Linked DNA regions of Elephas maximus indicus. The protein of the gene in region 3 purifies or fractionates together with the protein of the main gene of each other region. This does not show direct contact. Links are inferred from orthologs where the notes say so. Each region holds a gene or a part of one and is shown on either strand. Other genes may lie near its edges.

Evidence for each region.
Region 1: the proteins of STX7 (region 3) and BET1 purify together in Homo sapiens (affinity purification with mass spectrometry; 3 studies listed by BioGRID and IntAct, with this or other methods). This does not show direct contact. The link is inferred for Elephas maximus indicus from reciprocal best matches to the Homo sapiens genes STX7 and BET1.
Region 2: the proteins of STX7 (region 3) and VAMP8 purify together in Homo sapiens (affinity purification with mass spectrometry; 7 studies listed by BioGRID and IntAct, counting the BioPlex papers as one, with this or other methods). This does not show direct contact. The link is inferred for Elephas maximus indicus from reciprocal best matches to the Homo sapiens genes STX7 and VAMP8.

The regions. Positions count from the first base shown.
Region 1 is NC_064826.1:63,943,906-63,954,811, reverse strand, and holds the start of BET1 (BET1 homolog), read left to right. Parts: upstream 1-5,865; 5' UTR 5,866-6,018; coding exon 6,019-6,037; intron 6,038-10,895; coding exon 10,896-10,906. UniProt on the Homo sapiens protein: Required for vesicular transport from the ER to the Golgi complex. Functions as a SNARE involved in the docking process of ER-derived vesicles with the cis-Golgi membrane.
Region 2 is NC_064835.1:49,018,878-49,029,386, reverse strand, and holds VAMP8 (vesicle-associated membrane protein 8), read left to right. Parts: upstream 1-5,468; 5' UTR 5,469-5,658; coding exon 5,659-5,661; intron 5,662-6,991; coding exon 6,992-7,150; intron 7,151-8,498; coding exon 8,499-8,642; 3' UTR 8,643-8,956; downstream 8,957-10,509. UniProt on the Homo sapiens protein: SNAREs, soluble N-ethylmaleimide-sensitive factor-attachment protein receptors, are essential proteins for fusion of cellular membranes.
Region 3 is NC_064819.1:201,523,339-201,533,924, reverse strand, and holds the start of STX7 (syntaxin-7), read left to right. Parts: upstream 1-6,166; 5' UTR 6,167-6,474; intron 6,475-10,586. UniProt on the Homo sapiens protein: May be involved in protein trafficking from the plasma membrane to the early endosome (EE) as well as in homotypic fusion of endocytic organelles. Mediates the endocytic trafficking from early endosomes to late endosomes and lysosomes.

The DNA.
Region 1 (10,906 bases), on a different chromosome or scaffold from region 3:
TGGAATGTACAAAGTATGAATCTAGGAAAATTGGAAATCATCAAAAATAAAATGGAGCGCAGAAACATAGATATCCTAGGCATTAGTGAGCTGAAATGGACTGGTATTGGCCATTTTGAATTGGACAATCATATAGTCTACTATGCTGGGAATGACAACTCGAAGAGGAATGGTGTTGCATTCATTGTCAAAAAGAACGTTTCAAGATCTATCCTGAAGTACAATGCTGTCAGTGATAGGATAATATCCATACGCATACAAGGAAGACCAGTTAATACGACTATTATTCAAATTTATGCACCAACCAATAGGGCCAAAGATGAAGAAATAGAAGATTTTTATCAGCTGCTGCAGTCTGAAATTGATCAAACATGCAATCAAGATCCATTGATAATTACTGGTGATTGGAATGCGAAAGTTGGAAACAAAGAAGGATCAGTAGTTGGAAAATATGGCCTTGGTGATAGAAATAATGCCGGAGATCGAATGATAGAATTTTGCAAGACCGACAACTTCTTCACTGCAAATACCTTCTTTCACCAACATAAACAGTGACTATACACATGGACCTCACCAGACGAAACACACAGAAATCAAATTGACTACATCTGTGGAAAGAGACAATGGAAAAGCTCAATATTATCAGTCAGAACAAGGCCGGGGGCTGACTGTGGAACAGACCATCAATTGCCCATATGCAAGTTCAAGCTGAAACTGAAGAAAATCAGAGCAAGTCCACAAGAGCCAAAATATGACCTTGACTATATCCCACCTGAATTTAGAGACCGTCTGAAGAATAGATTTGACGCATTGAACACTAGTGACCAAAGACCAGACGAGTTGTGGAATGACATCAAGGACATCATCCATGAAGAAAGCAAGATGTCATTGAAAAGACAAGAAAGAAGGGAAAGACCAAGAAGGATGTCAGAGGAGACTCTGAAGCTTGCTCTTGAGCGTCGAGCAGCTAAAGCAAAAGGAAGAATTGATGAAGTAAAAGAACTGAACAGAAGATTTCAAAGGGCCTCTCGAGAAGACAAAGTATTATAATGACATGTGCAAAGACCTGAAGATGCAAAACCAAAAGGGAAGAACACGCTTGGCATTTCTCAGGCTGAAAGAACTGAAAAAAAATTCCAAACCTCGAGTTGCAATAGTGAAGGATTACATGGGGAAAATATTAAACGACGCAGGAAGCATCAAAAGAAGATGGAAGGAATACACAGAGTCATTATACCAAAAAGAATTAGTTGATGTTCAACTATTTCAAGAGGTGGCATATGATCAGGAACCGATGGTACTGAAGGAAGAAGTCCAAGCTGCTCTGAAGGCATTGGCGAAAAACAAGGCTCCAGGAATTGATGGAATATCAACTGAGATGTTTCAACAAACAGATGCAGCTCTGGGGGTGCTCACTCGTCTGTGCCAAGAAATATGGAAGACAGCTTCGCAGCCAACTGACTGGAAGAGATCCATATTTATGCCTATTCCAAAGAAAGGTGATCCAACTGAATGTGGAAATTATAGAACAATATCATTAATATCACACGCAAGCAAAATTTTGCTGAAGATCATTCAAAAACGGTTGCAGTAGTATATCGACAGGGAGCTGCCAGAAATTCAGGCCGGTTTCAGAAGAGGATGTGGAACCAGGGGTATCATTGCTGATGTCAGATGGATCCTGGCTGAAAGCAGAGAATACCAGAAGGACGTTTACCTGTGTTTTATTGGTTATGCAAAGGCATTCGACTGTGTGGATCATAACAAACTATGGATAACACTGTGAAGAATGGGAATTCCAGAACACTTAATTGTGCTCTTGAGGAACCTTTACATAGATCAAGAGGCAGTTGTTTGGACAGAACAAGGGGATACTGACTTGTTTAAAGTCAGGAAAGGCGTGCATCGGGGTTGTATTCTTTCATCACACCTATTTAATCTGTATGCTGAACAAATAATATGAGAAGCTGGACTATATGAAGAAGAACGGGGCATCAGGATCAGAGGAAGAATCATTAACAACCTGCATTATGGAGATGACACGACCTTGCTTGCTGAAAGTGAAGAGGACTTGAAGGACTTACTAATGAAGATCAAAAACCACAGCCTTCAGTATGGATTACAGCTCAACATAAAGAAAACAAAAATCCTCACAAGTGGACCAATGAGCAACATCATGATAAATGGAGAAAAGATTGAAGTTGTCAAGGATTTCATTTTACTTGGATACACAATAAACAGCCACAGAAGCAGCAGAAATCAAAAGACGCATTGCATTGGGCAATCTGCTGCAAAGAACCTCTTCAAAGTGTTGAAGAGCAAAATGTCACCCTGAAGACTAAGGTGCACCTGACCCAGGCCATGGTATTTTCAGTCACATCATATGCATGTGAAAGCTGGACAATAAATAAAGAAGATCAAAGAAGAGTTGATGCCTTTGAATTGTGGTGTTGGTGAAGAATATTGAATGTATCACGGACTGCCAAAAGAACGAACAAATTTGTCTTGGAAGAAGTGTGGCCAGAATGCTCTTTAGAGGCAAGGATGGTGAGACTGCGTCTTACATACTTTGGACATGTTGTCAGGAGGGATGAGTCCCTGGAGAAGGACATCATACTTGGCAGAGTACAGTGTCAGCGGAAAAGAGGAAGACCCTCAACAAGGTGGATTGACACAGTGGCTTCAACAATGAGCTCGAGCATAACAACGATTGTAAGGATGGTGCAGGACTGGGCAGTGTTTCATTCTGTTGTGCATAGGGTCACTATGAGTCAGAACCGACTCAACGGCACCTAACAACAACGACAACAACAGTTATTAATTTCCCAGGGAGCCTCAAAGATTACACATTTTCTACAAAATTAGCCTGTGAGTATAGAGAAAAATTTTAAATGCTATTCATCTCCAAGAACTTTATTGGCCTTTAATTAAAAAAACAGGTATTTTAATTTAAAAAAGAAAAGAAAAAAATTTAAATAAAAAAAATCATAAGAATTCTTTCTGGAATTCTTTGTCAACTGTAGTAGCATTTCATTATTCTTCTTTTCCTCCCAAGTTTTTTTGAACACAAAATCTCAGATGAGATCATCCTAATTTGAGACTGGTAGTTGCAGTGAGTTGGAATCAATTCGATGGCAATGGGTTTTGGTTTTAATGGTGTGCTCTGGTGGCACAGCGATTAAGCATTCAACTGCTGACCGAAAGGCTGGGCGTTCAAACCCACATAGTAGCTCTGAGGGAAAAAAAGCTGCTGATCTGTTTCCATAAAGATTACAGCCAAGAAAATTCTATAGGGTAGTTCTACTCTGTCACATGGGGTTGCTATGAATCAGAAAAAACTCAAAGGCACCCAACAACAATGGAGCACAGTTCTGCTCTGGCATACATGGGATGTCCATGAGTTGGAGTAGACTCCATGGCAGCTGGCTGTTTGTTTCGTTTTTCATAGTAATGATAAACAACTATTTGGATGTTTGTGTCACAAACTCAGTATGAACCAGCTTTGCCTGTCTGGAGTTATATTCTTTTTTGCTTTTTGAACACTTTATTGTAGTTTTGGTGAAAGTTTACAGAGCCAATTAGTTTCCCATCTAACAATTTATACACATTTTGTTTCATGGCATTATTGCTGTCCCCTCAACGTGACGGCACTCTACCCACTTCCTCCCTGATTTGCCCATTTCCATTCACACAACTTTCCTGCCTTTCGAGCTTTGTTTTTGGGCAAATGCTACCCTTTAGGTCTGGTATGGTTGATTGTTCTGAGAAAGCACGTTCCTCACTGGTGTTATTATTCACTTTATAGGCCTGTCTATTATTTGGCTGAAAGGAAAGGTTATCTCTGGGACCGGGTTCAGTTCTAGAACTTGAGGATGTCTAAGGGTCAGAGTCTTATGGTTTCCACCAGTCTCTATCAGACCCATAAGGCTGGTCTTTTTTATGAACCTGAATTTTGTTCTATGTTTTTCTCCCACTCTGTCCAGAACCTTCTACTGTGATCCCGGTCAGAGCAGTCAGCATTGGTAGCTGGGCACCATCTAGTTCTTCTAGTCTTGGGCTAGTGGAGGCTGTGGTTCCTGTGCTCCATTAGGCCTTTGGACTAATTGTTTCCTTAAGGCTTTGCTTTTCTTACTCTTCTTTGCTACAGATGGAAAAAGACCAATAGTTGTATATTAATGGCTGCTAGAAGCTTTTAAGACCGTAGTCACTACTCACAAAACGAGGATATAGAACAACATTATGTTTATGGACTATGTTATGCCAATTGACCTAGATGTTCCCCAAGACTATGGCCCTAAGCCTTCAAGCCCAGTGCCTCTTTCCCTTGAGGCATTTGGTTACAGCTGGAAGTTTTCATAAGTGTGCCCCCTGTGTGTTCTACTATATACATGGATACATTTGCAGCACATACAAATGTGTTTGTAGAAATATCTTTCCCAAACCTATATATGGGTGTACTCCCATATGCCATCCTACATCTGTTCAGCTTACGTATCTACCTATGTATCCACTCATAAATTATTGTTATTACTGTTATTGCATGATTGTGTATGTACTGGTATTTACTGTTGTTGCCTTTTACTTGGAGTTATATAATTGATATACTTTTTTTTTCCTTTTGCTACATTTTATTCTTATATCCATACATTTTTAGAATGGAAAGTAGCTTACAAAAGGGTAAGTAAGCTTTACATAATTTAAATGGTCTGTTTTGGTAAACATGACATCAAATTTTTTTTTTAAGTAACAATGACTTTTATACTTATATGAGTAAGACTTCCTTAAGCAAGATAATTTTTCTGACATTTTTTTAAACTTAATTTTTGGTGAAAATAGACACAGCAAAACCTGCTCCCATTCCAGTTTCTAGACATAATGATCAGTGACATTGGTTACATTCTTCACATTGTGTCAACATTCTTGTTATTTCTGTCCTAGTAGTTTCATTCTGACATGTTATGATTATAGAATGTCACAGATTTTAAATAAAAAAGAGGAGCCTTGCCATCATTTTTCTTATTGAACCTTTGGTGTTTATTTGCAATAATAATTGTCCCTGGTGCAATCTTCATTTAATTCCATTGCTTTTAGAGAATTGTGGTTTGTTTTCCTCTTATGAAAACTGTTTTTCCATCAAAACACTATTGAATTTAGTGGTTAAGTGCTACAGCTGCTAACCAAAAGGTTAGCAGTTTGAATCCACGAGGTGCTCCTTGGAAACTCTAAGGGGCCATTCTACTATGTCCTATAGGGTCGCTATGAGTCGGAATCTACTCGAGGGCAATGGGTTTGGTTTGGACCAGGTTAATAACTCACTAAAAGTTGCTCTGGTGGGTATTTTACAAAAAAGGCTTTAAGGTAGAGACTTATCTGCTACTATTCGAGTAGGACCTACTCCAAGGAGCTAGGTTCTTTCTATTTTAGTGAGTGACCCGGCGTAAATAGGTTACCCTCTTCCTTCCCTTCTGTGAGCCTCAAATGACTTGTTTGTAATATGAGAAACTTGAACAAAGTTTTCACTGACTTGCCCTTTTTGCCCTGAATTGATTCTGGATGTGAGATGAAGAGGCTGAAATAGTTAAGGTGTCAACTATCCTCTCGCGGTCAGGTAAAAGCAGATGTGTATGTTAAAGTCGGGGTCGAATACACTAAAAACAAGGTCCAAAAGGCTGGGAGCGCAGCACTCGAGACTCTGAGTCTTACTCCCTAGGACGCTCGCCCCTTTTCCCGAAGATTCCTGGGCTTGTGGAGTGGGACTGCCATACCATGCCCACGGTACGCCTCTTATGGAGGCGACGAACTACATTTCCCAGAATGCTATTCAAGAAGCCTCACGGGCACCAATAAGTGCCCGGGTGACGCCATCAGCCAGCGCGGTGTTTGGACTTCACTGGTGTCGTGGCGCTTTGGGAGAAGTTAGTGTTCTGCCGGACTTTGGTGCTGAAGACGCGGTCCGGTGATTCCTTCGCCCCTTCCTTCCTACCCTCTTCCCGCCTTTTCCTGCCCTTCTCTGGCAGGATGAGGCGTGCAGGCCTGGGTAAGAGGAGGGATAAAGTTGGAAGTTCTGGGGGCCCTAGAACCGGCCGCGGTGGGCGCGGGGGCGTGGGAGGAAATCGGACCGGTCTTCTGGCACTAGCATATGGGCCAGAAAGCGAGATGTAGGCAGGGCATCTTGGGACACAGTGCCAGGTGGAAACATTTGCCCCAGATCATAGGGATTTCCTTAAGTTTAGGTCAGACCCAGTTTGGATGGTAGGTTAGAGAGAGTGCTTGAGGACTGGGGGGGGGGGGGGGGTATATACAGACACCAACTCGGTTGTTAAGTTTCTTTAGTCTAGTTACAGAGCGTGATTACTGAGTTTCGCAAAGGCTGTCTGGTTTCTCTTTTTCTACTGCCCCTTAATCTTATTTTCTTCAGAAGAAACGAAGTTTGAAAAGTGAGGTGTGCATGCGAAGCACGCTAATAAGGATCATGTTAGCCTGATAACAATGAGTTACAAAGGTAAAATGTACGTGTCATTACTGTTAAAGGCCCTGGTATGTAACATCGGGGTCAAAGGTGATTTTACCCGGGGCACTTCTTGTCTGAACCTTGTTACACTCATAAGTCATTGGAGTGTGGTAAGCCTTGGCGAATTAACATTTGTTTTTGATCTTTTGGCTTATGAAGGTACACCAAGCAGCAGAAATAAGTTATGAATGTGGATTTTTAGTGGTTCTTTATATTTTATAATACACGCTATTAGAACAGCATTTTCTGGTTATAAAGCTTTCTATAAAGTGACAATACCAAAAACAGTAAGAATATAAAAAATCTGCAAAATTAGTGTGCAATATAGTGGAAAATCTATGAAGTATTTTTTCAAAAGATAATGTTGCCTTTCTCAGGCACTATATAACACAGGAAAAAGAAAAAAAAAGTTTTCTAAAAATGTGTCAGTCACTTAAATAAAAGTTGCCAGTAACTTTAAACTTGTATGTTGATTTATAAAATTTAGCATGAGACACAGTTTTTTATGTAATTTTTATGAATATTTGGATAACAGAAAGTTGGCCAGGTAAATTGAAAAGGAAAAAAAGAACTAATTATGAGCAAGATTAGTTTTGTGTGCCCAAATGTTTTTTTTCATCAACAACAGCAACAGACATTTATTGTGTATTTGAGAGACCCTAAGTATCTTTTTTTTTCTTTTAAGTATCCTAGGTATATAGTCACTGTGGCCCTATTTGTGCTCCCTCCCCCAAGCTTGCAGTCTACCTGGGGAATAGGACTAGGTACAAAGATAAATTATAGTGCAAGGTGGCAACTACGTATATGGTCAAATACTGTATGAAGTTCTACAGATGGTGAATGTCTCGAGGATTTCAGTGATTACTGTGTATTTTGTGGAGATTTAGGAACTTGAACTAATCCTTGAATAATGTAGGTTAGGAAAGCTGAAGTTCCAGATGAGAACGTAAGCCAAAAAAAAAAAAAAAGTATAGGGCTGTTGATAATTGCTGTTGAGTTGGCACTGACAGAGGATCGGCGTGAGTCTGCACCAACTCAACACCAATTATCAGCAACCGTACATTTTTTTTTTCCCCCACTCGTCATGCTCTCATCTGGAACTTACCGTTTTTTCTCTCTATTATTCAAGATTAGTTCAAGTTCTTAAGTCTCCACAAAGTACACAGTAATCTCTGAAATCCCTGAGACATCCACCATCTGTAGAACTTAATATAGTATTTGACCACATACATAGCTACCACTTTGTACTATAACTTATCTTCATCATTTGTATCCTTGAGTCCATTAGAATGTGAATGAGATGTTTAAGGGATTATAATTAAGCTAATTTCGTTGAAATAGGGGGGATGGAAGTGCACTGTGGAGATCTTCAAGTGCCAGACCAAGAAGTTTGGACTTCGTCTCAGGGCCCCTTTGGATGTATTTTGCAGTAGTGTGCCATATTACATTGCAGGAAAGGGACTAAAGAAGTGGTACTCCACCCTGACTGTATGTTAGAATCACCTAGGGAGCTTTTAAAGTGTTGCTACCTGGACCCCAACCCAAACCAAAGTAAATTAGAATGTCTAGCCATAGAGTATTTTGTTTTAATGCTCTTTCTCTGCTGGTTTTGAGCATCAGCCAGGATTGAGAACCACTGAAGCAGAGATAAAAGGTCATTGGTGATTACTTAAGTGAATTGATAAAATTTACTTTGTTATGAAAAGGGTTTTTTTTTTTTTTCTTTTAATATACACTACTTGCTTTTTAAGGTATTACTGCATATCAATCTGGAATTTCAAACTTAGGGATAAATAATGAACCTGTAGATATTTGTGTGCAGAAGCTGCCAGATCTCACATGAATATCTAAATGATTTTGGCTCAGTTATTGATAGAAACTTCCTAAAAGGGGTAGCATTTATCTAAATTAACAAAGGCTAAGGATTACCTTTGGCACGTTCTGGCTTTTATACAGTTTTTCAAAGCAGTAATTTACACAAAAAGTAGGGTGGTTAAGTTTGGAAAAGCAGCTCCTCATTTTATTTGATTTTCTTTATTTTAGGGGTGGATGATGGTGTGAGGAAAGATAACTCTTCAATAGGAGAAATGTGCATTTAAAGATTTCTGGGCCCTAAATAAAAGGAGAATGTCTGCTTTGAATAAATGGAACAGTATGGAAGACCTCTAAAGTTAGAATTAAGTTAGGTTAAAAGAGCAAAACAAAGAAAATAAAGCAAGTCACCATTATTTTATGAAACAAATTCTGTGGCGAAGTTACTAAATGATTAAGTACAAACAGTCTGTAATTCCTTTTGGGCAAATGCTATATATTCAAAATCTTAGTCACATAAAGCAAGTAGAAGACGTTGTCCGTTTCTTTAAGGATATTGGTTCTTACTAATGTAGAGTTCGTACAAAATATCATTGATTGATGGAGAATACGTTTTTTAAAATGAGTTTTAATTACTGAATGGGGAAAAGAATTATGCCCAGTCACTCGAGTTCCAAAATTGTGTAGTAACATGTGGTATGGAAGGCTTTCTGGCTCGGTGTGTCAGCAGTAGAGGTAATGCAACAGTACTCCTCTGTTTGGAACGCACTTGTTCAACATTTTGCTGTGATTTTTGTGGTGGAGGTTGCATAGGTGCCTCCTACATGGCGAACATAGGAGAAGCATGAAACACCGTCAGAGAAGCATATGATTCTATTGTTGAGAAAGGCATGCACAGGAAAAGTTGAATAATAGTGATTTCAGATTCTATTCATTAATTAATTCATTTACATGTATTTATTGAGTGTGTCCATATTTGAGTGTCTTGAAGAGTGTGTAGGGAGTCTTGAGGGGGATGTACACCAATGAATGAAACAGACTTAACTTCTACCCTCATAGTGCAGTCTAGGGTGTATAGTAAGTGTTACACACAGCCAGAAATGTAAGAAGTCGGAGGAGGGAGTAGTCAGCTTTGCTTTCTAGAGAAAGTGAATTTGTGCTGTGCCTTAAAAGAGCTTATTGTTCACACCTCAACCATCCTTCAGCTACCAGCTACCCAGGACTCCTGTCCTTGCACTTCTTGCTGTCACTTTACCTGCTGTTTGAGTTCACTGAGACATATTGTTTCTATATCATCCTTACCCCCACATGCTCAGTCCACTGTCAGATCTGCTTGAATCCCTGTCTAATCTTGTCCCCACAATCCACATCTTCAACCATTCGTTTTGCAAGCAATCTCAAAAAGATTGGGGGCTGTGTTGTTCTGCAGCTCCTACATTGTAAACTTCCAACTCTAGATCAGTCCAACCATCCAGCTTCTCATCTGCTAACCTAGGCTGATGAACCCTTCTGTAGAAAAGTTACGTTTCCAAGAGGATTGAAACCATTACAATGAATTCCATCTGCTAGGTTTGTCTAATTTCCCTGGTAATCCTGTGTAACCCTGTTCACCTTCCTCCAACATTCTCCTTATTGTTTATTCCAAAGGATCACCACTTTAGCAGATTATCCTTTCTCTTCCTTTACTAAGAAAGTCGACGGCATCGATTGTTAAAAGACTTAAACGTTTTTGTGGTTAAATAAACCCTCAGCTATTCTTTCTTCCCTCAGTCCCCCAACCAATTTATTTATATATTCACTATTAAATGCTTACTCCACCTGTTGTTTGATTGCCTGATGACTATGAAGTACTATATTAGCAGGGTGGTGGTTACCGCATTCTAAATGTCATCCCTTAGAAGATAAGCTCCATAAAAGTAGCATGTAGAACAATGGATCTGGCATATAGTAGGCACTCAAATATTTGTTGAAGAATGAATGAATCCCTCTCCTACTTCTCAGCTAACAGTCCCCACAAGTTATTTTATCCCTCTTCTAGAGCTTCAACTTTTTATTTTTCTTGTTTGTTTTCCTCCCTTCGGCTCTTCCCCACTCAACTGTCCCTATATTTAGGAGAAAGAGGTGCGGGTAATGGACCTTCCTTTTGCTCAGAGTTCCCTCTCATTATATTATCCTCTTTCTCCCCCTCCTTTCACAGTCAGGCTTCTTTAATGGGTGGTTGATGTTAGCCTTTTTAGATTTTGTATTAGAATATATGCTTCCATTGAGCAGGGAATGTTTTCTGGCTATCCTTGTATAGATATCAGTGCTTATTTTAGTCTCTTGGGGGGAATCGGTAGGCAATTAATTAATGTATATTTAAATTAACAATATTCTTTGATTAAGAGAAGGTAGTGGAAAAAAATTGTTCTGTTCTCTGTCTGGCTATTAATTTTTAACATGAAGTATGAATATTATAAGCATATATGGTCTGCAACGCCCTCCAGGGGTCTTTTTTGGTTCTTTTCTATCAAGGTTTCAAAAGTGCCTTCTGTTTCTGCTAAAACTACATTCCTAAATCTAAACCTTGCAGGTGAAGGAGTA
Region 2 (10,509 bases), on a different chromosome or scaffold from region 3:
TGTTTGCACAGGTGAGGCCAGCCTGCAAGGATGTGCATGGTGAAGGTAAGGGTGAACAGGTTGGCAGGCCCAACTGTGGGCATTTTGGATGTTCCCTCCTGATGGTTGCTGGGGTGAGGCCAGGGTCAGCTCCCTCAGGGACACCCACATGTGTCCAAGGCTTGCTGTGGCATGCCAGAACCCAGTAACTCCTCAAATATTGTAACTCTCACCCTGATCCTGGGAATCCTCTTCCAATTTTTGCAGTTCCTCTCAGGCATCCCACTCTGGCCTTCTATTTCTTGGCACCTCTCATGTTTCTCCATCCACCACCTCACTTGTTAGGTGCAATCAAGTTGGTTCCAACTCACACCAACCCTATATACAAAAGAACAAAACACCACTGACCAGTCCTGTGCCATCCCCACAATTGTTGCCATGCTTAAGCCTGTCGTTGCAGCCACTGTGTTAATCCATCTCACTGTGAGTCTTCCTGTTTTTCGCTGACCCTCTACTTTACTGACCATGATGTCCTTCTTCAGGGACTGATCCCTCCTGACAACATGTCCAAAGTATGTGAGACGTAGTCTCACTGTCCTTACTTTTAAGGAGCATTTTGGTTGTACTTCTTCCAAGACAGATTTGTTCCTTCTTTTGGCAGTGCATGATATATTCAATATTCCCCAACACCACAATTCAAAGGTGTCAATTCTTCGGTCTTCTTTATTCACCGTCCAGCTTTCACATGCATAGGAGGTGATTGAAAACACCATGGCTTGGGTAAGGTGCACCTTAGTCTTCAAGGTGACATCTTTGCTTTTCAACACTTGAAAGAGTTCTTTTGCAGCAGATTTGCCCAATGCAATGTGTCTTTTGATTTTTTGACTGCAGCTTCTATGGGTGTTGATTGTGGATCCAAGTAAAATGAAATCCTTGACAACTTCAATCTTTTCCCTGTTTATCATGATGTTGCTTATTGGTCCAGTTGTGAGGATTTCTGTTTTATGTTGAGGTGTAACCCATACTGAAGGCTATGTGTGGTCGTTGATCTTCATCAGTAAGTGCTTCAAGTCCTCTTCACTTTCAGCGAGAAAGGTTGTGTCATCAGCATAACACAGGTTGTTAATGAGTCTTCATCCAATTCTGATGCCCTGTTCTTCTTCATATGGTCCAGCTTCTCAGATTATTTGCTCAGCATACAGATTGAATAGATATGGTGAAAGGGCACAACCCTGATGCACACCTTTCCTGACTTTAAACCACTCAGTATCCCCTTGTTCTGTTCAAACGACTGCTTCTTGATCTATGTACAGTTTTGTCATGAGCACAATTAAGTGTTCGGGAATTTCCATTCTTCGCAATGTCATCTATGATTTGTTATGATCTACACAGTTGAATGCCTTTGTGTAGTCAGTAAAACACAGGTAAACATCTTTCTGGTATTCTCTGCTTTCAGCCAGGATCCATCTGACATCAACAATGATATCCCTGGTTCTGTGTCCTCTTCTGAATCTGGCTTGAATTTCTGGCAGTTCCCTGTCAATATACTGCTACAACCGATTTTGAGTGATCTTCAACAAAATTTTACTTGTGTGTGGTATTAATGATATTGTTTGATAATTTCCACATTCGGTGGGATTACCTTTCTTGGGAATAGGCAAAAATATAAACCTCTTCCAGCCAGTTGGCATAGACTAGTGAGTACTTCCAGCGCTGCATCTGCTTGTTGAAACATCGCAGTTGGTATTCTGTCAGTTCCTGGAGCCTTTTTTTTTTTGCAGATGCCTTCAGTGCAGCTTGGACTTCTTCCTTCAGTACCATTGGTTCCTGTACCTCCTGAAATGGTTGGACATCGACCAATTCTTTTTGGTACAGTGACTCTGTGTATTCCTTCCATCTTCTTCTGATGCTTCTTGACTCATTTAATATTTTCCCCATAGAATCCTTCAGTATTGCAACTCGAGGGTTAAATTTGTTCTTCTGTTCTTTCAGGTTGAGAAATGCTGAGTGTGTTCTTCCCTTTTGGTTTTCCACCTCCAGACCTTTGCACATGTCATGATAATACTTTACTTTGTCTTCTCTAGCCACCCTTTGAAATCTTCGGTTCAGCTCTTTTACATCATCATTTCTTCCTTTCACTTTAGCTACTTAATGTTCAGGAGCGAGTTTCAGAGTCTCTTTTGACATCCGTTTTGGAATTTTTTTTCTATCCAGTCTTTTTAATGACCTCTTGCTTTCTTCGTGTATGATGTCGTTGATGTCCTTGCACAACTCGTCTGGTCTTCAGTCATTAGTGTTGCCAGCGCATCAAACCTTTTCTTGAGATGGTCTCTAAATTCATGTGGGATATACTCAAGGTCATACTTTGGCTCTCGTGAACTTATTCTAATTTTCTTCAATTTCAGCTTGAACCTGTATATGGGCAATTGGTGGCCTCTTCTGAAGTAGGCCCCTGGCCTTGTTCTGACTGATGATGCTGAGTTTTTCCATTGTCTCTTCCCACAGATGTAGTCCATTTGATTCCTGTGTATTCCATCTGGCAAGGTCTACATGTATAGTCACATTTATGTTGGTGAAAAAAGGTACTTGCAATGAAGAAGTTGTTGGTCTTGCAAAATTCTATCATGCAATCTCTGGCATCGTTTCTATCACCAAGGCCGTATTTTCCAACTGCCCACCCTTCTTCATCTCCAACTTTCACGTTCCAGTCTCTGGTAATTATCAATGCATCCTAATTGCATGTTCGATCAATTTCAGACTGCAGCAGCTGATAAAAATCTTCAATTTATTCATCTTTGGCTTTAGTGATTGGTGCGTAAATTTGAATAATAGTCGTATTAACTGGTCTTCCTTGTAGGTGTATGGATATTATCCTATCACTTACAGCATTATACTTAAGGATAGATCTTGAAATGTTCTTTTTGTTGATGAATGCAATGCCCTTCCTCTTCAAGTTGTTATTTCCAGCACCCACCTCACTTAGCAGCTAGAATTCTTAATAACAGTAATCATGATAGCTAACATTCACTGCGGGTTTTTATGTGCCAAGAGGTGCTATGTAAGTTGTCTAAATACACATAAATATTAAGGTGTAGATCAGTGTGTCCAATAGAAATACAATTTGAGCCACATTTGTAATTTAAAATTTTCTACTTAGCCAAATTAAAAAGGGGGGAAAAAAGCAGATGAAATTAATTCCATTAATATCTTTTATTTTAACTCAATATATCCAAAATATCCAACACATCATCAATACATAAAATCATTAAGGAGATACTTACATTCTTTTTTCTACAGAGTCTTTGAAATCTGGTGTGTATTTTACACTTAGAAAAAAACGTTTTTTTTTTTTTTTACACTTAGAGTACACCTCAATTCAGACTAGCCACATTGCAAATTCTAACAGCCACATGGGGCTAGGCTAGTGGCTGCTGTATTGGACAGCACAAATATAGCCCCAGGATGAAATCCGTCTCCACCTGGCCGTACTAGCAACTTTTCTAAGGATGGTGAGGTGTAGGGCAGTCACATTCTCTGTGAAATCAGCTGTTATACCCCTGCTTATAGGGCTGATTGTCCTGTCTACCAAAATTCAGGTCTGAACCTTGAACCAAAACCATCCCCTTATGTCACCTTTTAATGAAATAACAGATTGGCACACAAAATAAGGGATATTCTCTGTGAGTACACTTCTCCATTAAAAAAAATCATCTATATGAGACCAAAGGGTCAATGATTACTCTAAAGCAAAGATGAGAAGACAAGGGGGCAGGAAAAATAGAATGCTGGAAACAGAGCAACCAAAAGGCAGTTAAAGAGAATGTTGACACATTGTGAAAAATGTAACTAATGTCACTGAATAATTTGTATAGAAATTGTTAAGTGGGAACCTAATTCGTTATGTGAACTTTCACCAAAAACACAATAAAATATTATTTAAAAAAATCTCAGGTGTCCATAATCTAATAATCTAATTGAGATTAAAACCTTATAAATTGGAAGGAACGTATCTCAGAGTGCTACCAAAAAAATCCCATTGGCCTTGAGTCAGTTCCAACTCATGGCAACCCCATGTGTGCCGAGTAGAACTGCCCTCCATCGGATTTTTAAGGCTGTGACTTTTTGGAAGCAGATCACCAGGCCTTTTTTCCAAGACCACCAACCTTTCAGTTAGGAGTCAAGAACTCAGCTGCTTACACCACCCAGGAATCCAAAGTGGTACCAAACCCACTGCCGTGGAGTCGATTCCTACTCATAAACCAACTCACAGAGAAAAACTGCCCCGTAGGGTTTCCAAGGAACAGCTGGTGGATTCAAACTGCTGAACTTTTGGTTAACAGCCATAGCTCTTAACCACTGTGCCACCAGGGGTCCTCAAAGTGATACAGTAGTCCAAAACTTCTTAAAGCCTTTTTTTAACAAATGTATTTTTTGGAGGAGCTGACATTTACCTCTCGGAACTGTTACCTCCTGTGATGGGTTAGGCATGTTTCTTCCCTTCTGCATGTCCCTGTTGTTGTTGTTCTGTCTTCTTGATAAAGACTATCTGGGAGGGGTGGATTTTCCCTGGCCTGGAGCCAGATTGATGGAAGAATCCTTCACCCTGGTACCCTCTCTGGCTATTGGGCAGTCCTCTGACCAGGCTTGCCAGCCCTCATGGGGCCCCTGAAGGGAAATGCAGGACTGCTGACCTTTGGAAGGAAGGAGGGTGGTGAGCCATCACTCCCTGGTACTTTCTGGCACCGTACAGGCCCTGAGCTAGGCACTTTGCTGGTGCTGTCTCTTTATCCCTCAACAGCACTGGCTGGGGTCAGTATTGTTCTTAGTTGCCATTGAGTTATCTCGACTCATAGTGACCCCATGTGACAGAGTAGAACTGCCCCATAGGGTTTTCTAGGCTGTAATCTTTACCAGGGTCGAAGGCAATGGGTATATGTAATCTTCACCAAGGAGCCCTGGTGGTGCAATGGTTGAGAGCTCTGGTGCTAACCAGAAGGGTGGCAGTTCCAATCCACCAGCTACTCCTCGGAAACCCCTTTGGTTAGCAGCTGAGCTCTTAGCCACTACACCACCAGGGCTCCAGTGTTAGCATCTGCAAAACTGAGAGGTGAAGGGTCAAGCAGGGTCATGGGGCTAGTAAACTGACACAGCTGGGACTTAAACCTTCCTGACGTCAGAGCCCAGGGTCACAGCATTCCAGACATCGCGGGAGTTAATGCTTTCGGCCCACCCACGGACCTGGGAAAAGGGGTTTTCCAGCAAGGAATTTCTGTATCTGCATTCTATTCCTAAGTGAACCAGGCCTCGCAGGTGCTATGATTGATTTCGGTCTCAGGTATTCAGAGCAGAAAAAGGAGACGGCTGCAGTTTCTAGGTCACAAGGCCCAACCTCAGGAAACTTAGAGGGCTGTTCCACAGTTCTTTTCTCCCTCCCGACGAGTTTGCAGACCTTTGCCGCCGGGGAGCCCTGTTGCTTAAGTCCAGACCCTGGTTTGGGAGGGCAGTGCAGGGCGCCCGCCTACCTGCGGGGACCTGCGCTAGGTGTGGCTGGAGCGGCCCGGGATGCGAGTGGGCGGGGGCAAGCTGAAAGTTGGAGTAAGCAGGAAGTGAACCGAGGGCTCCCGCGGGAGGAAGCCTACTAGGCGAGCTCGGCTGCCGGCAGGCCTTGTGCTCGGAGACATGGTGAGCGAACGGGGCGAGGAAGGGGCTGACTTAACCGGGACCGAGGAGCTCGGGCCGGGGGCTGTAGGTGCTGGAAGTTGCTGGCGGAGTCCGAGGGCTGGGCCAGCGCTGCCTGTGGCCCGTATTCTTTGACAGCTTGGCCGCAAATGGCTCGGAGCCGCCGGGCGCCTGTTCCCTCTTCTGCCCTCCCCTGACCTCCGTGCCGGCCCGAGCCGTGTGGGGGTCCGAATTCCGGGACTAGAACTGCCTGCCAACAAGTCTCCTCCTCCAGCCGGCCCGGGTGTCGTGGCGCTCCCTACAGGGTAGAGCCTCTGCTGTTTCCAGCTTAAATTCCAGCCAGCGGCAGGCTCTCTACCCCTGCCTTTCACTTTTACTCCTACACAAAACTCTGAAGGATTGGGCTGCCCACCGGGCCTCAGGAACTGCCCCCCTGTCGGTAAACTGGAGACTTAAGGGTTTGTAAAAGAATCAGAACTTGGTTGTCTGTGGTCTAGTGTTGGCCCATACCCCTGGCCTGTTTCAGGAGGCTCGGTGGGCCTAGCAGGCAGGAGTTTAATAATGTTTTTTCCCCTCCCTGTTCAAAAACCTTATCGTCAAACCTGGAGGAGGCACCAGCCAGGGAGGGCTTGTCTGGCATTTCACCCAACAGCGAACCTGGTATTTCAGTTTAATATCTGCATAAGCAGGCAGCAGCTTGGGGCCTGGGAATAGTGCTAAGTGGTGGGGAAAGCAGAAGTTTGCGGCTCAACGGCCTGGGTACCTCGTGGGGGACTTGGACTCAGGCTGCTCAGTGCTCTGGGTCCCAGCAATGGAACTATGGCTAGGCTGCCCAGGAGGGCCAGGAGCCTAGCAGCGCTCCAGCTTCGGGGCTGGAGAGAGGGCTGGCTGGGCTGGGCAGAGCAGCCACTTTTAAGGGGGTGGGGGCGGGAGGCTGTGGAATCAGGGGAAGGCAGGGATGCCTCTGGGAGCTTGTAAACAGTGGTGGGCTCTGCACTGGTGGGGAAAGGACGCCATGGATGTCAGCTCCACCATCTTCTGTGCCTCTCAGAGGGGCCAGGAGCAGCAGAGAGGGGCTTAGTAGTGTGCTGCTTTTCCTTATCAGGAGCCCTGAGAAGCCAGACATGAATTTGCTTTAGTCTGTCTAGATCTCACTTTCTGGGGCTAAAGAATACATTTACTTTTGATTATACAAGTAATACACAAAAAATTCTCTTTGCAACCAATTCAGGCATTACAAAAAGCTAAAGGCCCCCTTCCCCTCCTCTGGCCTTTGAGACAGGCTTTCAGTTCCTCCACCACTGGGCCTCATTAACCCTGTGTTGCTGCCCAGGAGGAGGCCAGTGGAGGCTCAGGAAATGACCGGGTGCGGAACCTGCAGAGTGAGGTGGAAGGAGTCAAGAATATTATGACCCAGAATGTGGAGCGGATCCTGGCCCGAGGAGAAAACTTGGACCATCTCCGGAACAAGACAGAGGACCTGGAAGCCACAGTGAGATGGGGAGCCCGCCGAGGCTGGAGGGAGAGAGGGAGGGTTGTGTGTTGGGGGCAAGGCAAGTATTTATTTGTGGGCCAAAAAAGAACAGGAGAGACAGAAGTTTGCAATTTGCCATTTCTATGCCTTTCTACGTTTTGGGAGTTGGTGTGAGCTGAGTCCCTGCTCTGATCTTCCACTTCTACACTGAGTGGTACTGGGGCCCAAGGCATGGGATCAACGATCAGGGATTGGGGGGCTGATGCTTGAGGCATTTTCTGAGACAGATGGATGGCTCAGTCAGACCATGCACTCTTAGGCTTCCCTCCTATAAAACCGGTTTTCCCTTTAAAGGATGCCCTTGACAATTATTTAAGATTTGACCTCTCCAGGACAAAACTATTAAGTCTGGGAAATCCTACTAGGGGCCTTTGCCTTCTCCAGGAGTTAGCAGGCAGGGGGTGGAAACTGCTGGAATCTTGCTGAGTCAGCTTTAAAGAGGAGCTGGAAGGGGAGTGAAATTCTTTGATCCTGGGGTCCTCTGCCAGCTGAAGGCTAGAATAATATTTCCCACACATCTTGCTAGGCCTCCTTCTTCTCTCTCCACCCAGGGGCCGGGGCCAGATGCTCAGGAAGGGAGTATCTCCAAGTTCAGCAAAGGCTGGAGCCTCAGGTTCCATATTCAGCCAGGAGAGACGAGCTCTGGCTTTCTGAGTCCTGTGGTTAATCTTGAGTATAGCTCCTTGGAGTCCCGGGGACTTACTTTTTCTTTCTGCCACCCAGTCTGGGGAGAATGGCCCAGGGAAACTTAGTTTCTGCAACTGAAGTTGGGGGAAGAGGTATGGTTTTCCTCACTCCCAACACCAACACCAGCCCCACTACCCAGAATGCCCCAGGTCTGTCCTCCAGCTTCCGCAGCCCCCACAGGTAAAGGAGTCATGGAGCCAGGGAGATGCCTGCGCCTCCCCCAGGGTCTGCCTTCCCAAAGCGTTTTTCCCCTGGGTAGAGCATGTGTGTACAAGGCCCCTCCACGTGTGTGACAGTGCCAAGGGTAGAAGAGAAGATGGCAGGTTGGGAGCCAGGGCCCCTGCCACGTTTAGGTAGAGAACTCTCTGGAGCCTAAGAATTCTAAATTTGAACGTGGTCTGCCAGGTGGTTCTGATGATACATTTGTCAAGGTAGGAAGCTAGAACTTTTTTTTTTTTTTTTTAATTTCACAGTTTGTTATCTCAGCTTATAGCTGAAATATTTAGATGTATGGCATGAATTTTTTTTTTTTTTTTTTTTTTTTTTTTTTATGGCATGTGAACCTCCACCCCGAGGGGAAGGAGGCACTGGGTCACTTACTGTCTCTTATCCCCGACAGTCCGAGCACTTCAAGACAACATCACAGAAAGTGGCCCGGAAGTTCTGGTGGAAGAATGTGAAGATGATAGTCCTCATCTGTGTGGTTGTCTTCATCATCATCCTCTTCATCGTGCTCTTTGCCACTGGTGCCATTCCTGTTTAGAGAGTCCCCTCCCACCCTGCCCTCTGGGGCAACCCTCCATAGTTGATGGCAAGGGGGCCCTCTCTCCCGCCCTCCTCCACAGGCAATGCTGCTGGGTCCAGGCCTCCGGCTCCTTGCCTGAGGTCCCTCTGTACATTGCCTACCCCAGGGAGCACCTTGGTCCACTGGAAGGAGAGAGCTGGACTGTGGCTGCATTTCATGGGTCCTCAGAGTGGGTTGGAGAGACTCGGGGCCCAGTATGTGGCTGGGAAACTCTTGGTGGCCTGAGGGTAATAAAGACTTTTCAGTATCCCTACGTGCGTGCACGTGTGTGAGGCACTTTCTCCTTTCCATTTTGCCTTTGACTCTCCTGTTTCTATTCTTCCTGAAAACAGTCTCTGGCTGAGGTCCTCTGACTTGAGACCCAAGTTGTTGGAGAGGTGGAGAGCTTATGTTTGGAGGAGAAAAATGGAGCCTGCCTGTATTTCTTTATTCCTTCTTGGTCCTAACCCATTCATTGTCACAGGTCTCAAGAGCAAGAGTTTTCTGGGGGTCTTGGCATAAAGCAAAACCTTCACAGCATTTTAGTGTGGTGTGTAAGACTCCTATGTATCCCCCTTAGACCCTGCCGTGTCCCTTTACTCCTTGTCTGCTGGAAGTGTTAGCCAAACATGAAGCCTCCCTGATAGCAGTTAGGAATCTGGTGTAGGCCTCTTGCCTCTCCCATCACTGACCCTTTTGCAGTCTAGAACTGGGGGTTAAAGGAGCTGGACTGCTTTTTCTTTTCTTCTGCAAGCTCTTGTCTGTTGCCTGCCCTGCCCTTCTGAGACTTAGCAGGGCCCCTGGGTCTCAGCTGTCCTGAGGGGGCAAGCGTCTCTTCCCCACGTCCCATGGCTGGGCACAGTCAGTGTCACAGGACAGGGCCTGTGGCCCTCCTTCCTGTCCATGCACAATGGGCTTCTGTGTCTTCAGGCCTGCCTCCTCCCCACCAGGTTCCACCGTCATTGCCACTCTTTCTAGTGCCCAGTCTGGTTTGTTTTGGGGGGAGGAGCCTTGCCATCTGTGCCCCTATTCCCCTAGTCATGGGTTTTCCAGAATTGGAAACATATTTTGCAAAGGAAGTAGGGAAGGGGCAGGGTTGGGAGGCTGGATTTGGGACTAGTACTCGTACATCAGGAGCCCTGGTGGCACAGTGGTTAAGCATTCAACTGCTAAGCAGGAGGTTGGCAGTTCAAATCCACCAGCAGCTCCTTGGAAGTCCTCTGGGGCAGTTCTACTCTGTCCTATAGGGTTGCTATGAGTAGGAATCGACTTGATGGCAATGGAGGTTTTTTGGGTACTTGTAAATCAGGTCCTAGAATCATGTTTTCTCCGGGGAGAGAGAAGGAACCACAGAAGAGACCCTGGGGCAGTCTTTGCCACAACCATGTCCATATTCTTTCCTCAGGCCACTCCTGAATTTGAGGTCCAAGGAACTGAGATGAACTCTATATGTTCAGTCCTGGGGCGGGGGGTGTCCTGGAGGGGTGAGGGTGAAACCTTCTTGGTGTAGGGCTTGTGTTCACAAGATCAGCCCCAAGAGGGAAGCCCTCAATCCCCTTCCTCAAGAGAGGCCTTCATTCAAGACATTGGGGATGGGGTGGAGACAGGTGGCTGCTGATTTTCTGTGGCAGAGTGGAGAGGATAGATGCACTCTGTTCAGGGTGGCAGTAGACACAGCAGCCTCACCTCATCCTCTGATGGCGGAGTAAAATCATACCAGGGCAGAGCTGCACTTGCCCTCTGGTGAGAAGAGAACACAGAAAAGCTAGGGCTAACACTTTCCTCTAGGAGTCTGTGGCCCTCCAGTCATTCGGACTCATGGCGACCCCATGTGTTACAGTGTAGA
Region 3 (10,586 bases):
GTCAAGAAAGGTGTGTGTCAGGGTGGTTTCCTTTCACCATACTTTGTATGCTGAGCAAATAATCTGTGAAGCTGGATTATATGAGGAAGAATGAGGCATCAGGATCGGAAGAAGACTCATCAACAACCTTCGAAATGCATATGACACAACCTTGCTTGCTGAAAGTGAAGAGGACTTGAAGCACTTACTGATGAAGATCAAAGACCACAGCCTTCAGTATGGGTTGCACTACAACATAAAGAAAACAAAAATCTTCATGACTGGACCAATAAGCAACATCATGATAAACAAATAAAAGACTGAAGTTGTCAAGGATTTCATTTTACTTGGATTCACAATCAACGCCCATGGAAGCAGCAGTCAAGAAATCAAAAGATGCACTACTTTGGGCAAATCTGATGCAAAAGACCTCTTTAAAGTGTTCAAAAGCAAAGATATTACTTTGAAGACAAAGTTGTGCCTAACCCAGGCCATGATATTTTCAGTTGTCTCATATGCATGTGAAAGCTGGACAATGAATAATGAAGACCATAGAAAAAATGATGCATTTGAATCCTGGTGATGGCAAAGAATATTGAACATACCATCAACTGCCAGAAGAATGAACAAGTTTGTCTTGGAAGAAGTACAGCCAGAATGCTCTTCAGAAGCAAGGATGGTGAGACTTTGTCTCAGATCCTTTGGCCTTGTTATCAGGAGGGACCAGTCCCTGGAGAAGGACACCATGTTTGGCAAAGTAGATGGTCAGCAAAAAAGAAGGAGACTCTCAATGAGATAGATTGACACAGTGGCTGCAACAGTGGGCTCAAACATCGCAATGATTGTGAGGATGGCACAGTACTGGGCAGTGTTTCACTCTGTTGTACACAGGGTCGTTTTGAGTGGGAATCAACTCGATGGTACCTAACAACAACAACAACCGGAGAGAGATGTGGGAGGAGCTTAAAAATAAGGCACAATGAAACTCTTATTTATTAAAAACCAATTTAAGCTGCGTTTTAAATCTAGCACGGTGGTTTTACCATTGCAACTTAAAAAAAAAATCATAAGTCAGCCTATACCTGTCATTTATCACCAACCCACAGAAATTTCTTGTCTTGCCGTATTTACATTTTGAGTACGTTCTTGTTTCCTTGCCTCAATTGCAAATCTCCTGACCCAGGGGTCAAGTTTTACACTTCTCTGGCTCTCCTACCAGTCTACATAGTGGGCACTTTAAAAATATGTTTGGTTTATAAAAAAAATAATAGTGACTGTTAAATGAGCAGGCAGTTACACTCTACCATTCACTAGCATCATTGTTCCAGATGCTTGTCAACACAGCAGTGAACAACCTCTATCCTACACGGCAGAGGTTATGTAAGTGGTATTTATATTAATGACATGGTAAGTATGCAGACGATCAATTCCCACCCAAGGACTTACTTCTGATTGTTCTTCAAAATCTCTGCCAGAAGGACAGAATATCAAGAATTGCTAACTCTGAATATTCCAAATCACAAGATTTCTGCCATAGGTAAATCTTGCAAGTGTAAAGGATTTGTTTTTGGGAAAGGTGACATTCCCCCACCCTAAAAAAACCAAACCCATTGTCATCAAGTCTATTCCGACTCATAGTGATCCTATAGACATTAGAACTGCCCCATAGGGTTTCCAAGGAGCAGCTGATGGATTCGAACTGTTGACATTTTGGTTAGCAAATGTAGATTGTTGTGGCTTTTAATCACTGTGCCACCAGGGCCCAGAGGTGACATTAAAAAAAAAAAAAAAAACACACCAGTGCCATCAAGGTGACATGGTGACATTAGCATTTGTTAAAGGAACATTTTGAGCCCTACTAGGTCCAAGGCACCTGGCTGAATTTCACTAAGTAGCAGGCAGAAACGCCTTTAGAAGACATGTATCCTCTAGTCCTCTGAATTTTGCAGGGTTCCCTGTACTTTTTTTCTTTCCATTTGAATACAAAGAGGTAAAATCTCATTTTTAGTTTTTCAAAAGACCTGGAAAGAATCCACTCATAACGTATTTTAAAACATGGGAAATTGGAACAAGCCCAAGAAGAGGAGTCAGACAGCTGAGATTTGTCCCCAGTTCAGTCAGAAGTTAGCAGGATAACCCAAAGAGGCCACTTAGCCTCAGGTTCTTTTTCTATAGTGCTTAGTACCTTCCTCTCCCACAGCCCAGGGTTCTATCAAAGGGACCAGGAAAGGATGTTTGGGAAGTGCACTAGACTTCATGTAGATGTAAGTTGCTTCATGACATTTTCTCGAATGATTGAGATACTTCTTCCTAAGTTTACCAAAGACTTCCTAATTCTCAAGTGCACGACTTTCAGTTCTTCGTTTACTTGAACTTTCTGTGATATGTGACATCATCACAGACTATTCCCTTTTTGAAATGCATTCCTTCATTCTCTACTTTACTTTTTCCTGATTTATTTCTGATCTCTCTCATTACAAATCTTTGCAGGGTTTCTCTTTCTCTGTCCATACCTGAAACATAGGTAGTTCATAACATCTGACCCTTCAAGTTAATGAGCTCATCTCTTACCATAGCTCCAACCAGGACTCTATTTTGAATTTAGCTCACATTTTCAAGTGCCCGATGACACTGGGCATGTCCTACTGGATATCGCATCCCCAGAATCTTTTTTCACTGTTGTAAAAATACAGATAGCATGACATTTGCCAATTCAATATTTTTCACGTATATGATTCCATGACACGAATTACATCATTCCCCAGAATCTTAAATACAACACCTCACTTCACCACTCCATCCTCAAACTGCAATTGCTTTCTTAGTAATCTTAGATTTTAGATAACTACATCATATTCACCTCAGTTTTGCATGTCATAAGAATAGGAGTTATCTCTTCATTCTCCATATTTAGTTGATTTCCAAGACTTCTTAAATATTTCTCAAACCAATCTTCATTTCTTCTCCAATGTATTTGCCTTACTGCAGTCCTTGAATATCTCTAATACTAAAAAAAAAAAAAAACTAATACTAAAAAAAAAAAAAAATACTAAGGAGACTCTTAATAAGGGAATGTTACTATTACAACAGCCTTCTAAGTGGTGTCTCTCCACCTTCAGTTCCCTTTAATTTTCCCCACTTCTCCAGAATTTTCTTTGTAAAGTAGAATTATGAGTGCATCACACCCTTGATTAAAATCCTTTAATGGCTCAACTTCTATTAGATCGTCATTTAATATAATACAGAAGCTTTTCATTACCTAAGCCCAAATTGCCTTCCAGATTTCCATCTGTTATGGATTGAATTGTGTCCCCTGAACAATATGTTGAAACCTGAACCCCCGTACCTGTAAGTAAGGCCCTGTTTGGAAACAGGGGTTTTCTTTTATTATGTTAATGAGGTCATACCAGAGTAGGGTGAATCCTAAATCTAATTACTTCTGAGTGGTGTTTTATAAAAAGAGCAGAATGGACACAGACACGCAGGAGGAAGAGATCATTCAAGGAGTTGTCTACAAACCAAGGAACGCCCAGGGCTACTGATAAGGAAGCACTTTCCCTTAGAACAGATGGCCTGATTTTGGTTTCTAGCTTCCAAAACCATGAGGAGATAAATTCCTGTTCTTTAAAGTCACCCCGCTTGCAGTATTTTTTGTTATGGCAGCACTAGGTAACTAAGATATAATCTGCTATGCTTTATCTAAATAAATTTATGTATAGATCCCTAAAAGTTTATGATTACCTCTGATTTCATGAACATTTATATGCTCTTCCTTTTGCCTGGATGTCCTTTCCCTTCTTGTCTTCCTAGTGAAATTTTACACAACTTTTTTTTTTTCAAGGTTCTGCTGACAATTCTTTTTGGAGTCCTCTGTACCCACAGTAAGGCACCTCCATTTCTGGGCTCCCACTGTGCTTTGTACAAATCTCTATCATATCACCTTTTTACAATGTCCAGGGAAGGATCTCATTCTTTGAGCTCCCTGAGGGGAAATACTATATCCTATTGATCATGATATCCACTGTGCCTAGCACAGTGCCGGACACCTGGCAGGCTCTTGGTGAATATTTGCCAAATGAATGATGATGGAAAGAACTCTAGACTCTGAAGTAGGCTATAGGGACCTGTGCTGCTCAAAATTATCTGTGTGGCTTTAAGTTTCTTTGGGTTTTAGTTTCTTTAGTCTGTGAAAAGAGGAAGTAGTGCTAGATTTTCTGTAATGTCTTTTCCACCTTTGATACTCTAAGGTTGATGTGGTTGTCTGTTATAGAGGTTGACCACCACCTGTCTCTCAATTTGTTGTGCTGTGGTAGTCTGCGTGTTACTATGATACTAGAAACTATGCTACCAGTATTTTAAATACCATCAGGGTCACCAATGGTGGACAGGTTTCAGTGAAATTTTCAGACTAAGACAGTCTAGGAAGAAAGGCCTAATGATCTACTTTTGAAAGTTAGCCAGTGAAAACTATATAGATCAGAACAAAATATTGTCCTACTGAACTCAAACATGCCAACGATTGTGGAGAGGGCACAGAATCTGTCGACATTATGCTCTGTTATGCATAGGGTTACCATGAACTGGAGCCAACTTGATGTCAGCTAATAACAACAAAGAGGCTGAAACACACACATTTTGTCTGATCACAGAATGTTTTATGAAAATTAGGAATACTGGAAGGAGAGATTTCACATAAAAATCTGAATTTCCATCATATCTTCTGAAAAATCAGATAATTGGACAATACTGGTCCAATTTTGCTGAAAGGCTGTAGTTGATTCTAGCTGAATCATGCTGTCCCTTTGGATGGGGTGTGTGCTTTCTCCTTAACCAGCATGCCCACCTCTCCCTATTTCACCCACCTCTTCCTATTACCCCTACCTCATTGAGGCAGTATGTAAGTTGCTGCTTATTATCCCACTTTTAAAGTAGTTTTCTTTACTAAAGATGAGAGAAAAAACATTTCTTGGACCTATTCCTCTGTCAAAATGAGAAAATGAGGAATAGACTGAGATACTTGATGTCTTAGCCCTGACTGACCTTACTAATTTATGTATATTGTTTTTACATATAACAGGAAACCCTGGTGGCTTAGTGGTTAAGTGCTACAGCTACTAAACAAAAGGTCAGCAGTTCAAGTCCACCAGGTGCTCCTTGGAAACTCTATAGGGCAGTTCTACTCTGTCCTATAGGGTTGCTGTGAGTCTGAATCAACTCAACGGCAGAGGGTTTGGTTTTTGGTTTATATGTATAACATGGAGGCCCTGGATGGGGCAAAGGCTTAAGCGTTTGACCACTAACAGAAAGGTTGGTGGTTCGAACCTACCCAGAGACACCTAGAAGAAAGGCCAAAGACCACAGCTTTGACAACCCTATAGAATGCTATTCTATTCTGTACACATGGGGTCACCATGAGTCCAAATCAACTTGAGGGCAACGTTTTTTGTTTTTTGGTATGTAAAACACCAAACACAGCAACCCTATGTGTTACAGGCTAGTAACCTTTACGCAGTAGTAATCTTTATACAGATAACCAGGCCTTTTATTCTATGGTACCAATGGGTGTGTTCAAACCGCCAACCTTTAAGTTAGCAGTTGCCATGAGTTGGAATAGACTCCACGGCGGCAACTAACAACAACAAACACCAAACAATCTAGAATTTTTTCAGGTAGTACCAACCCAAAATGTTCTGTCCCCCCCCCCCCCCCCACACCCAAATCTGGACTTTAAATATCATATATCCTGATGATCCTTTCAGGAACTATCATTGTCTTAATATAGGGAAAGGCCAAGCCAATTTATCTTCTAATTAATGCAGTGAATTATTTTTTTTTCACCTGAAGCAACTGATGCATTGCATTATACTTATGTTTGCATATTTGTCATTAGAACATTCCCAGCTCTTTTCAAACCCTATGAAAACTGCGCCTGACCTTCAAGAATGCTTAGGATGGCTTGTCTGTACAACGAAAACTTGGTTACTAAGTGAGCACACCGAAGTGGCTCTTCACTTACTCTTTCATCGTTCCCGCTAGGTTCGTGTAACGTGTTTCGACACCTTCACGGGGCTGTGAATACGGGTCTATTACCGGTTAGGAAATAAGCATGAGCTGATGGGGCGGGGTGAAGACACGTGTCCAGGAAGACTGGCTTCGCCAGATAAAGAAGACAGCTGCCCTCCACGTCCTCCCCTTCTTTTTTGCAAGCAGGCTAAGGCGTTCATCATCAGTAAGTCAGGCCGAATGAAACACCTCCACGCCAGTGTTGCTGGTACCCCCGCCATTCCTTAGCTCCTAACCAGAAGGGGCGGGAGAGGGACGCTGTCACTCAGCCCCGCGGACCAATGGGAGAGAAGCGAGCCCCGCCTCCTTCCCTGAGCTGAGTTGCAGGCATGCGCATTGGACTTGCCAGCGCCACCGCCCATCAGCTGAGAATTGTAGCGCTCTGAGGGTGGGTGACCGTGTCCGGAGGAGGAGGAAGCAGAGCAGATCTGGGTAAGACGACCCCGGGGAGGGGACGCCCTGGCCCGGTGTCCCGGAGGCGCGGTGCCCCTGCTGCGGCTTCCGCGCCTCCTTGTTTGTGCGCGTTGTCAGGTAGCCGCCGCCCAGCGTTCTGCGGCGGCAGATCGCGAGGGTTGGGCCCGGGCTCCAAAATCGCCAGCTCCTGCCCACGCCCCCTGGCCCGGGGCGGCACACATTCCTGGTGTGCTCGGCCGGCGCCGCGGGGAGAGCAGGGGCGGCCCCGGCCGGCCCGGCCAGCCTGGCGCCCGCCGCGCTTCGCTGCATCCGGGCAGCTGCGCCCGGTCCCGCTGGCAGAGGCGCACTGGCGGGGCGGACGCGGAGCGACGCGGCAGAGCTCCGGCATCCAGGGACCGTCTAGACCAATACTTGTGCCTCCTGGAAACGCTTGGGCCTCTTCCTCTTTTTATCTCGGGGATTTAATCAACACACTTTAAAGTACTCTTCCTGAACAGAGAGGAACTGAAAAATATGTGGCTATAGTAAGCAAACCATGTATGTTTATTGAAGAAGCTCATCGTATTCGGTTTGCTATTTGGTTTGATGACATTGGTTGACACCCCAGCTTTCTTTGACCTTAATACTTGTCTTTAGCAGGTTTACTTAAAGACCTTTAAAACTACATAAAATATCCCAGAAATTTTTTTCCCCTTGTCTTCTAGGTAGCTTACTTTCTTGAAAACCTTTCTCTCTCTCTCTCTCACACACACACACAAATATACAAGAAGAAGAAGAAAAAAGCACATTGCCTTTCTGGTCAAATGCTGTATTTTTTCTTTCAGGTTTCTTACATTTGCTTGGCTCATATATTTACATTACTTTTTGTTTACTTCAGATTATTGTGTCCTGTCTATATAATTTCTTTTTTTTTTTTTTTTTGGTCTATATAATTTAAAACTTGCACGAAATCTGGAAGACAAGCACGTAATTATGAAATATTGTGCTGTTTAGTAACATAGATGGACACTTCTGCTCTGGGGAAGCCTGACCTGCACCTGGGCAGAGACTGGTCACAACAGTGTTAAACTGTGTCTTGTGACAGGTGGCTTTGCAGGCCACTTTGAGAAATTAACCTCCTACTTTGTTTGTGACTAGTTAAGAATTATGCTCTAGTTTCAAAGTTTCTGTGGAAGTTAATATGATACCATATTAACTCATTGTCCACATCATCTTTTTTCTTCAAACATTTTACTTCTTCTCCCAATAATAGTCAGCCCTATAAATTCAAAATAAAGAGGAAATGTTTGAATTTTGGTTATACCCTCAAACTTCAGCTAAGTGCCGGTGATCGAAAAGTAAATCATAAGATACCTTTGTAAGTCTCAGTAAAGTCTGTTGTGATTCCATTTAATTTGACAATTTAGTGTATGAAAGGGTAATCCATGGTATTATAAACTAAAACCAAAGAGTATAATAGTTCAGTGATAGAGGAGCTGAGCTTAAAGAAGTTGGTGGAACTCCTATGCCTCAGGTGCTGTGCATACCACAAGTCAAGGTCTTTCATATTTATATTCCAGAGGTAGGATTAGATAATAAACAGTATACTGATTAAATCATTTTAAATAGTGGTGAATGCTATGAAGCAGTGAGAGAGATTGACAGAGAGTGGCACAGGTGGTGAACTCAGGTCAGATGGAGAAGGTTTCTCTAGCATAAGACCATACTGATAAGAAGAAGCTCCATCACAGTCACATGGAGATCATGTGGAAGAGCCCTCTAGGAACAGGAAATGACCCTGAGCAAAGGCGGGAGGCAGCAGAGAGCCTGGGATGTATCAAGAGCTGCAAGAAGGGACTGGAATTCAGTGTCTTAGAAATAGTAATATTTACCCTCAGACAGAGTGTGTGTTCCTATACTTCTCTTCATTGATTCAACAAATATTTATTAAGCACTTAATTTGTAGCCAGGTACTGAGGATAGAGCGGTCCCCAAAATAGACAGCCCCTCTCCCAGCCCTGGAACTTACATGTTATGGCATAGGGTGGAAGGACGTCCAGTGCTTTTTGCTGGTGCTCACAATTAGGAACATGAAACTCACCATTTCAATCCCTTTGCTTATGATAAATTTAAAGAGCATGAAGGTTTATGGTTAATGCAAATCAAGGATTCTACAGTATGTCCAGTAATAACTGAGGGTAGTGTTTGACATGCAAGATTCTGTTATAAAATTTCCTTTGTTCTTTGTGCTCTTTAGAAGCAGATGAGAAGACTCACTATGTTTATTGCACTTTGAGCCTCCCTCCCCTTATTTCTCTTTATAGTGTTTTTATATCTTCAGAGAAAGATAATTTTTGCGGTATCTAGATGAGCGCCGACTAACAGAACTTTCTGCAGTGATGGAAATGTTCTATACCTATGCTGTCCAATTCAGTGGCCACTAGCCACATGTGGTTATTGGACACTTGAAAGGTGGCTAGTACAACTGAGGAACTGAATTTCTCATTTAACATAATTTTAATTAATTTCACATAGCCACGTATGGTTAGTGGTTACTTCGTGGGACAATGCAAGTCTAGATAATGATTATATACTTGTTATTCTGAGTGATAATAGTAAGTTGTAAAAAAAAAAAAAAAAAGGGCTCCAACTGTAAAAATGGTGTGGCAGCAGTATTGTTGTCTGACCCCATCATCTCACTTCACAAGGGGGGTGAATCAGGATTATCAGCCCATGGCTAATTACTGTGAAGCAAAGGTCAAAAATTCTTTCTTTCTCCAGCCTTTTTACCAATTCTGACACCAGCCGTCCCTCCCACGGTACTCTCTACTTCTCTGCTGGGTGTGATAATTCGTTGCAATGGCTACACAGAACTCACAGACAATACTCACGATTATGGTGTTTATTGGGAAGTAACAGGTTTCAAATCAGAATTAGGAATGACTCAGGATACAGTTCTTCAGTCAGGACATCTTCGCAGCCATGCCCACAGGCAGGCCTCTCCCTGGCCATTGGCGTCTTGACCCTGGGTCCCTTGCCTTTGGGCCAGCCCAGCCTCTGACCTGCTCAAGCAAATGTTACAGAGTTCTTTAACCCCACCAGTAAGTGCCCAGAGGCATTCCACTCGGCCAGTAAGCTTCTGCCCACAGGTGCTTAACTCTCTGGCTCTGTGGGTTAGTGACCCTAGCTCTGACAAGTGCCTGGAGGCACCTTACTCTGCCAGTAAGGGTCCTGCCAGAGGCATTCAGTTTTCTTGCTCCATGGGCTAGGAAGCTCACTGTACCATCTCCTGTCAGTCTCCTGGTTCTGCTGCCTCTGCTGCCGCCTTTCTGTGCCTTGCTTCTCACCATCTTTCACTGTCTCTGGTGTCACAGCTCTCTCTCACTCTCTCTCTGCCTCCTGGGGTCTAGGAGGTTCTCAGCAAAGGGATTCCGGGTCCAGAGGACATGCTTCACTCCTAGCTCTTTCTTGGTGGTAGCTAGGAGTAGCTTCCCTTCCTGCTTCTGGGATGGCAAAACTGACCAATTCCTTTGTTAGGGTTCCATACACCTTATTTGCATGTCTTCACCCCCACAAGGGTACCATGAAGCTTATCTGCATTATTAGCAAGCTGTCCAATCCCCTTGGTGGGCCACAAGCACCTTATTTTACATAATCTCACCCAATCATTTGGTGGGAGTTACAAGACTGGTGAGAAAGGCCATATAAAAGAGATCCATTGCATCTCATAAGTATTCTAAATGGGCTTTCAAAAGTATTCAATAAGAATAGTGCAGCTTTGGGCTAGGCACTGGAGACTGATGTAGAAAGCAAATATCTGTATAACTGCCATTGATTTAGCCTATAGATAAAGGTCATGAACTTTTAAGTCAGTTTATAGTTAGCCATCATGTATTTGTGTATATTGTGTTTGTTATTAGTCATCCAGTCGGCTCCAACTCGTAGTGACCTTACATATAATAGGAGGAAACTATGCCCAGTCCTGTGCCATCTTCATGATTGCTGTTATGTTTTGAGTCCATTATTTCTGCTACTGTGTCAGTCCAACTCAGGGAGGGCCTCTCTCACCTTCTCGGACCCTTCATTTTGCCAAACATGATGTCTTCCACTATATGAAATGTAAACATTTCCCTCAAGTAGCTAAACTCATT